Sus scrofa: one gene and its partner. The protein of the gene in region 1 purifies or fractionates together with the protein of each later gene. This does not show direct contact. Links are inferred from orthologs where the notes say so. Each region holds a gene or a part of one and is shown in the gene's direction. Other genes may lie near its edges. The genes, in order: ARHGEF1 and GNA13.

The links.
Region 2: the proteins of ARHGEF1 (region 1) and GNA13 purify together in Homo sapiens (affinity purification with western blotting; 5 studies listed by BioGRID and IntAct, with this or other methods). This does not show direct contact. The link is inferred for Sus scrofa from reciprocal best matches to the Homo sapiens genes ARHGEF1 and GNA13.

Annotation. Positions count from the first base shown.
Region 1 is NC_010448.4:49,992,438-49,996,683, reverse strand, and holds the start of ARHGEF1 (rho guanine nucleotide exchange factor 1), read left to right. Parts: upstream 1-1,249; 5' UTR 1,250-1,543; coding exon 1,544-2,157; intron 2,158-3,100; exon of another isoform or gene 3,101-3,393; intron 3,394-4,246. Other genes in the region: CD79A (B-cell antigen receptor complex-associated protein alpha chain precursor), read left to right, coding at 246-314, 455-568. UniProt on the Homo sapiens protein: Seems to play a role in the regulation of RhoA GTPase by guanine nucleotide-binding alpha-12 (GNA12) and alpha-13 (GNA13) subunits. Acts as a GTPase-activating protein (GAP) for GNA12 and GNA13, and as guanine nucleotide exchange factor (GEF) for RhoA GTPase.
Region 2 is NC_010454.4:11,963,861-11,968,293, reverse strand, and holds the start of GNA13 (guanine nucleotide-binding protein subunit alpha-13), read left to right. Parts: upstream 1-1,380; 5' UTR 1,381-1,704; coding exon 1,705-1,987; intron 1,988-4,433. UniProt on the Homo sapiens protein: Guanine nucleotide-binding proteins (G proteins) are involved as modulators or transducers in various transmembrane signaling systems.

The DNA of each region.
Region 1 (4,246 bases):
TCTGACCTGCATCAGCCTCTCTTTAGGCCACAGGGCCTCTAGACCTATTTACTAACACTGCCGCTGTTATCCGTGAAGCATGGGCCAAAAGGACACTGGCTTGAACCTAGAGAGACCTGCTACCAATAGGATATGTGGCCCTGGGCATCTCCCTGACCCTCTCTGGTAAAGCACCTCCCCACCCTCATGAGGGTCTGAAAACATTCCCCTTCCCCGACTCACGGAGGCTCCCAATCCCCCCACAGAAACGATGGCAGAATGTGAAATTCGGGGCGGATGTCCAGGATGATTATGATGATGAAAATCTTTACGAGGTGAGTGGAAGGTGGGGGCAGGTGCAGGGCAGGTGCAGGTCTGTGGGGTGGGGGGTTTCATGGGGTTCCTCCCTGAGCCTGGCTGGGGGCAGGGACCTGCACATCAGGGCACTGAGCCCCGCCCTGCATTTCTCCCCCAGGGCCTGAACCTTGATGACTGCTCCATGTATGAGGATATCTCCCGGGGCCTCCAGGGCACCTACCAGGACGTGGGCAGCCTCCACATCGGAGACGTCCAGCTAGAGAAGCCGTGACCCCGCCTGACCCAGCCCGGCTGCCCTGCCAACTGGGCACCCAACCCACGTCTCACTCGCATCTTCCCTGGAACCAGCTCTTTTTTCACAGTCTTTTCTGGGTGTGTCCTGACAACTTCCCTCTTGGGAGTGTCCACTATTCTTCCCTCTGGACTGTCCTCATCCCCTCCGTCACTCAATCCTCCTCCTGCTGCCTCGCCCAGGCTCCCACCCCCACCCCTTCGCCCCCAGTGGGTAATGAGCCCTTAATCTCTGCCTCTAGGGGAGCTGATTGTAGCAGCCTCGTTAGTGTCACCTCCCCCATCCCTGCTCTGCCATGGCCACTTAGTGATAATAAATCCTTCCCAACTGCAGACAGTGGCAGGAGTCAAGGATCTCATGGGGACGCCCTCCTCCTTCTCTGGGACCCAGGAGTCCAAGGAAGGCCCCAGCCCCCTCCTTCCGCAGCCCCTGCCCACTCCCCATGCCTGCAAGCAGGTAGCCAGTCTTGGCTGCCCCCTGAAAGAAATAGGAAGTGTCTTGGGGAGGGGCCCATCCCAGGTGATGTGCCTGAGCAGAGGGGGACACAGGAAGTACCCAGGTAACCACATTAATTTAGGCAGAGCTAAGTCCCAAAGACACAGGGCACTGTATGGTGAGATTGGTACCAAATTCTGATCATGGCCACACCTGTTCTCTGGGTGTGAACTTGTAGAAGTGGGATGCGGAAAGTCTATGGCCCTAAATTGGGGGTGCTGGGGAGACCCAGAAGCGATGACACAAGAGGAACAGAGATACAGATTCTGAGCTAGAGGGGAGAGAGGAACTGAGACAGAAAGATAGTGATGGAGAGACAGAGCAAGTGAACTGAGAGACACTGAGGAGACCACACTCTGGCAGAGAGACAGCAGCAAGAGACAGAAAAAGTAGGGTCCATAGAAAAATGGACATGGAGAGGCTGACCCCTGAGACTCTAGGAAAGCAACAGGTGGGGAAATGACTGATGGTGATGCAGGAGATGGGGAGAGAAGGCTCCGAGTGAGAAAGGGACTAGACACAACCGGGAGAAGCAGGGGCCTTGGAGCAGGAAGGAAAAACCTCAACGCAGAAAGTGAGAGATGGAGACAGAGAGAGGGACACGGACAGAAACACACACAGAGGAACAAAAGAGAGGAAGACCGAGAGACACACAAAGACGGAAGGCAGGGGAGGCTGCTATGCGGGCGCACGGCCCCCAGGCCCTGCCAGTTACTGATGGTCGACGCAGATGGGAGAAACGTGGAGCCCGCACCCAGCGGACAGATAGACCGACAAAGCCGGGAGAGGCCGGGCGGGGTCGGGGCGGGGCGGGGCGGGTGCCCGCAGGTCCAGGGCCGATCTGGGGAAAGCAGGGGAGGGGCAGGCGGCCAGAAGGGGAAGGAAGCGGAGGTGCCGGGCGGGCGCGGGGCGCAGGCAGGAAGCGGGGAGGGGCGGCGGGGCGGGGGCCTCCGGAAAAACGCCCCAACTTCCTGCCCCGCCAGAGCCAGGAAGCGGGAGCTGGGACACCGGGCCCGGGATCGCCGAGCCCGACCTCGGGCGCCCCGCCGGTCACCTCCCCGCGCGGACACCAGGTACACCGGCCCTGGCCCCGCCCGGCCGCCCTCCCCGCTGCTGCCAGGGGAAGTGGGGAGGTGGAGGGAGGGGGCTGGGCGCTGCCGGCAGTGGAGGGCCTCCTCCCAGCCCCGCTAAGCCAGCAGCCGCCCCTCCCTAGGCCTCAGTTTTCCCATCTGTCAAAGGGGACAAAGAGAGGAGAATTAACACTTGCCAAGTCCGGGTAGGTGGGGTGAGGGCTGAGACTCTGGGGTTAAGGACCGCCAACTGTTCGGCGGAGGACGGATGACCACTCCCATTGCACGGGTAGGGAAACTGAGGCCTAGGAAGTAAAACCGACTCATCCCAGGGCACATACATCGTGAGACCGAATGGAGTTGGGATTCGAATTCGCAGGTGCTTTCCGCTAAGCGCCGTCCTCCAAACCCGCATGCTTTAGAGCCACCGAAAAAGAAAAACGGCAATAACAGCCATAGGCCACTGTGAAGCTGAAAGTTGCAGAGTGCGTTTAAAAGCGGTTTTTTGGTTGTTGTTGTGGGGGGGGGTATAAAGACCTTTTTCTGGTCTTTAATTATACCCTGGGAGATGGGTTGTAGGGTACAGAACTGGAGATCTTTCCCCATTGTACAGATGGGAAGACTGAGGCCTGGGGAGAGTTAATTTCTTTTTCCGCGTTCCACTGCATGTCAGATGCTCCAACCCAGGATTTTCGCCTTGCAGCCCCGGCGGAAAGTGTGCAGGGTGGAGGGGTGGAGGGCAGTGCGGGAAGAATTAATGTACGAGCGTGGGGAATTCAAAGGATCCCAAGTTAGGGTGGCAAGATAGGGCGGGGACTCCAGTTCGGGGGCTAAGGTCCAGGACAACTCAGAGAGCTCGGATGGAGCGCGATCCGGGCACTGGAAGGATCCTTACCTCTAGCCTGGGGGCGGGGGGTGGGGTGGGGGTGGGGCCCAGGAGAGTGACGGGGGCAGTCGAGATATGGAAACGCCAGCCCTCCAAGACGGGCCAGAGCGGCCCTATCTGGCCAGCGTAGCTCAGTGGAGAGCTAGAGCGGCCGGCAAGGAGGAGTAGAGTCTCCTGGGCAGGAACCTGGTAGGAATCGGGCTAGAGCGGCTGGCGGGAGGAGTGGAGCCGGAAGCAAAGGTGGCCTGTGGGGCGGCTAGAGCGACTCGGAGCCCGGGGTGGGGGAACCCGGAGCCGGCGCGCGGAGGTTTCGGTTCTGGCTGCTGCAGTGCTTCTCCTCCGACCCGGAGCAGGTGAGGGACGCGGCCCCCGGCGGGCATCAGCCCCTGACTCTGCACGTCCGCCCCAGCATCCCTGACGGTGCACATTGCCACGTCCCCTGTAGGTTTTGGGGTCCGTGTACACGCGCCACGTCCTGCATATGATTTGGGGCTCGTGGAGACCCCCCTACAACCCCTCCAGGTTCCTGCTAGCCCCCCATGGAGATCCGGCTCCTTACAGACGTGGGGTTTTCATAAATCAGTTGCATCCGCTAGAATCCGGGGCCCGGATCCTGGATCTCCAGGACCACCACACTCCGCTACAGGGTTCTAGTCCCCTTTTAAATCTCCAAAGGTCCCATAAACTGGCTACTTCCCCTATGGAATCAAGCTCCTGTGTGATCTGAGGATCCTTGTAGACCTACCATGTGTCAGTAGAATCTGGGGCCTTATACATTTCAAGGACTCACCTTGACTACTCTGTATTTTAGGTTGTTTAAGGCTCCCAGACGTTCTTGGAGACCAGAGTCACCCATTCAGTATCTTCTAGACTCTGAGCCCTGCCTAGAATCCAGGCACCCATGTAACCCCTCACACGTGCCTTCTTTGCTTTAGGACCCCCCCAACAGCCCCATGCATACCGCACCCCCCTCCACAGGATACCAGGCCTTGTCACTTGCTTGCAGATCCATCCCCTTCAACCTAGAATTCCCTAACCTTTGCGGAATATCCTGATGCCCCATCTTCTAAGCAGCCAGTCCCTCCCCCTAGTCCTCTCTGAGCACCAAGTCTCTGTGGAGCCGCCAAGTCCAATTTGCACCCCTGCCCAGGCCACAGTGCCCACATCCCCCTGACTCCCAGACGCCACAGGGAGACCTCTCTGTCT
Region 2 (4,433 bases), on another chromosome or scaffold:
CCATATAGAAAGGGTGCTTGGAGGCCGGTGCTAGACCCCTGCCCTGGTTCATCCTTTCATGGGTGGAGAACAGAGCCTCCCAAACACTAGCTGAGGCCACAGAGAGATCTTGCAACCAGGAGAGACGTTTACCCTATATTTTACCTGAAGGCACCACCTAGTGATTCTGGCCCTAACAATCCTTAGATATTAAGAGTTGAACCTACACTACTTTGTATATTGTAGCTTGTCCACCCTGTGGGCTTGGCCAGGACAAGAGGAGATAATCCCACTACAGGCACTGTTTACTGCAGCCAGTTTACTGAGTCATGAGGCTCCTCGGACATTAACCCAACCCAGACAGTGAACTGATTAGCACTGATTTTTAAAATTTAAACCTGTTCCTGAGCCTCTTGGGAGTGCTGACCTCTTTCTTCAGTTTCTGACGCATAGACGTTTCTGAGCCACAGAAGTTCTCATCAAGGAACATTAGGGTTGTACTGCCATAAACGGAGACCACCCCAAAAGCCTTTTTGCACTTAAAACTAGAATACCAAGAATGAAGAAGTTGGCTTTTGGGGGCCAACCCAGCTGTCACTGGTCGCTTGTCTCCTGGCAGCCCTTCAGGTGTCCTGGCCTGAATCTGCTATTAGGATAGGAAAAAAGTCCCTTGGCTGGTCATATCCTCTGTAATCTGGCAGGAAACCTAAAATTTGCCGGCTCTTCTCCTCGGTCTGTTTGCTTATCTGCTTCCTTGTTAGGGAAGAGTCTGCATCACAGTGTCCGGTTAAGGGGGATTTTCACCATGACCTCACCCTACTGCAGCTACATCTTGATTTCAGCAGCTTGGGTTGGAATCCGCATCAATGAGACATCAACAACCCCTCCTCGCCCATCTCAGATTAACATCAACACGAAGTCTTTCTCCTCCAAGAGATGATCTTTGTAGGGCTCAGAGAATACCGAAGAGAGCTGCGGGCCGGTGTTGGGGAGGATGTGAAGATGTTTGGTTAACGTTTTGAGTTTGTGAGAGCAGGATGTCAAGGAAGATACTCTAGGAAAACGCACCAAAAACTTGCCCAACTCGCGCTCGCTCTTTGAATAACATTCAAGCCAATGGCCTCGAAACTAGGAGAGCGAACGATGACAGCCGGCGACCCGCACGTAACCGCGGCGGGAGCGGTTGGGGAACCCAAAGTGCTGCATCTGAGTTCTTCTCTCCGGGCCCCAGCCTCCAGGGCTCCCGGAAGCAGCCCTTGGGCGCGTAAGTGGGTGCAGCTAATTAAAGGGAAACAGAAAGGCTGGCTCTGCAAGGCGCCCAGCCCGAGATCACATGAACACAAGGCCCCACCCCTTCAACCCCTCCCCGCGCGCGCCTGACGGCGGCCGCGAATTCACAGTAGAACGTGATTCTCCGGCCCAGCGCACGGGTCGGAGGAGCCGCCGCGGCGTGCGCGCGCGCCCCCGGAGGCAGCGGGCACGCGCACGTCCCCCGGGCCACCGCCCCTCCCAGGCCCGCCCTCCTTCCCTCCCTCCCTCCCTCCCCGGCTCGCCTGGCCCGCCCTGCGAGTCAGTTCGCTGGTTCCCTCCCTCCCCCGGCGCGCTCGGGTCGCCACTGCGCTCCCCGCCCTCGAGCCGCGGTGCCGGAGCCGCCCGCCGCCCGAGGAGGAGGTGGAGGGAGCCGGAGGGGCCCGCCGAGGCGGCGGCGGCGGCGGCGGCGGCAAGATGGCGGACTTCCTGCCGTCGCGGTCCGTGCTGTCCGTGTGCTTCCCCGGCTGCGTGCTGACGAGCGGCGAGGCCGAGCAGCAGCGCAAGTCCAAAGAGATCGACAAATGCCTGTCGCGGGAGAAGACCTACGTGAAGCGGCTCGTGAAGATCCTGCTGCTGGGTGCGGGCGAGAGCGGCAAGTCCACCTTCCTGAAGCAGATGCGGATCATCCACGGACAGGACTTCGACCAGCGCGCGCGCGAGGAGTTCCGTCCCACCATCTACAGCAACGTGATCAAAGGTGCCGGGCCGGGGTCGGAGCCGGGGGGCCGGGGGCCGGGGGCGGCCGCGGGCCGGCGCGGGACCGGGCACCGCCCTCGTTCGCTCAGTCCCCGGAGTAGAAACGGGCCCGGCGGGCGGGCGCGCGGGAAGGGGGCGCGCCCCGGGCACCGACCCTGCCTGCCCGGGGTGCCCTTGCCCCCAGCGGAGGGGATGCCTGGGGGTGCCCCTTTTCCCTCTTGCTGCGGGGCAGGGATCCCGGCTGGCCCCCCACCCCCCACTCCGTCGCTGGCCTCGCCCCCTGCGAGAAGGGAAGTGAAGGGAGCCGGGTGCCGGGAGTGCGGGGTGCCCCCTCCTGTCTTCCCTCCTCCGGACGAGGCAGCAGACCCGAGAGCCAGCCCCAGACCCTACACCCTGACCCCACGCCCCAGCGCTGCCTGCCCAGCCTCGCCTTCCCGGGTGGGTGGGTGCCCGAGTCACATGGGATCGGGGCTGCTCCCACTTCCCTGCTTCCTTGGCCCTTCCAGTGTTCTGGAACCATCGCAATGAGGAAACTTTTGCCCGAGACTCTGGTCAAGGGCGAACGGTGACTGCTCTTGGACCCTTTGGGGCAAGGATATGAAACTTGAGGGTGTCCTGTTTATTGTACTGGCGTCAGGAAAGAGTAGCCCCATTTAGTTAGTCTAAAAAAGTTCGCAGCGGTGGTTTTTCGCCCGGGTGTCACGGTGGGGCAGGATGTTTGCCTGTAATCACTATGCAACACGTTCCACTCTCCTTTTGCTTAGTAACTGGGGGCCGGAGGGAAGGGGTACCACCACTTGCTTCTACTACTTAAATTAAACTGTGTGTTGATAATAAAGAATCTTTGGCCTAGAAGTGATGCAGAGCCTGTACAAGTTGAGTCAGTGAATCAGTGTCGGCTCTGCTTCTGTTTGTCAGTATTTTTTAAGTTAGATTAAGCCTTGTTAATAAGTGAAAAACGCACAAGAACTTTATTTCTGGTCTTTCAAAGAGCTAAGAGAAGAGGGATTTTATTTTTGTCGTTTGAGTGTTAATTAGCACTTCATTTTCTTTGTATCATATTTTCTACTTTATAAAAGGCATTTGCCAAAGTTGCGGTACGGAGTCTGGTACTTCAGGTGTGTCAGGATTCTCTCTGTTGCATCTGGGTAGCAATTATCTAGGAGTTCGCTATAGATTTCAAGCTTTTCCAAGCAGCATTTTTTTGAGTGGGATTTTTTTGTTGTTCAGGAAGTGCTTAAGTTACTCTCTGGTGTCACTTTTTTTTCTCCCAGGATTGAGTAGAGGAAAACTGCTTGGGGGGGGGGGAAGGGGAAGCTTTGTGAAGCTAATAACGGGGGAGAGCACTGCGCCAGGAACTCATAGACCACAGCCAGCCCTAGTACCTCTGCAGTTAAGTTATTAAAAAAAACCGGTTGTATTTATCCCTTCTTAACGTTTAGTAGTGCAACATTAATTGAGGTGTCTTTCAAAGCCGAAGACTCTGCCTAACCAGGCTCTAATTGAAGGTACCTTTGTATACCGATGCCCAAACTTAAGGAGTTCTGTCAGTGAATAGTTAACATGTTAACTGATTATAAGCCAGCTAAATAAACATCTGGCCCTGTTTTGTTTTTCATGTTTTGGTTTTTTTGTTTGTTTGTTTTGTCATTTTAGGGCTGCACCCATGGCATATGGAAGTTCCCAGGCCAGGGGTCCAATCTGAGCTATAGCAGTTGGCCTCTGCCCCAGCCACAGCTACAGCTATGCCAGATCTGAGCCACATCTGCGACCTACACCACAGCTCACGGTAACACTGGATCCTTAACCCACTGAGCAGGGCCAGGGATCCAACCTGCGTCCTCATGGATACTAGTCGGGTTCGTTTCTGATGAGCCACGACAGGAACTGTACCTGGCCCTCTTTTAACACCTGGTTCTCAATGTGCTCTGACTTCTAAGTGTGACCTACTTTGAGCCTTGATTATGAGATGAAGTCACTAGCCATCTACTTTTTTGAGTTGGCATGATCAGAAAATTGACAGCCAAACAGTTTTTCAGTTATCCAAACAAGTGACCTAAGAGCCATGTGATTATTGAGAGGGACTAAAAGTAACAGCTTAATGATAGAAATAATGGGTTTGAATTAATCACCATGAGTTTGAAATCTCTGTTTTTATACTGTTTTTGCAATTGGTCTTCCTCCTTTTAGGGAAGTCTAACTAAGGCCATCGTGTGCCTCACACTGATTTAAAGCTTGGTATTGGGAGTTTTTGAGTTTTGAATGTTTCCTGGAAGACTCAGCGTTGGGCTCAGCCGGTGCTCGGGGACCAAATAGGCCACAGGGCGACATTGTTTGTTGTTGACATTTCATAAATAAATATCTCTTTGAGGGACTCAGAAAACCTTGCAGATCCTTCTTCAGAGCCTGGACGTGCAGGCTGTACGTACAACTTTATCGTTTCTTTT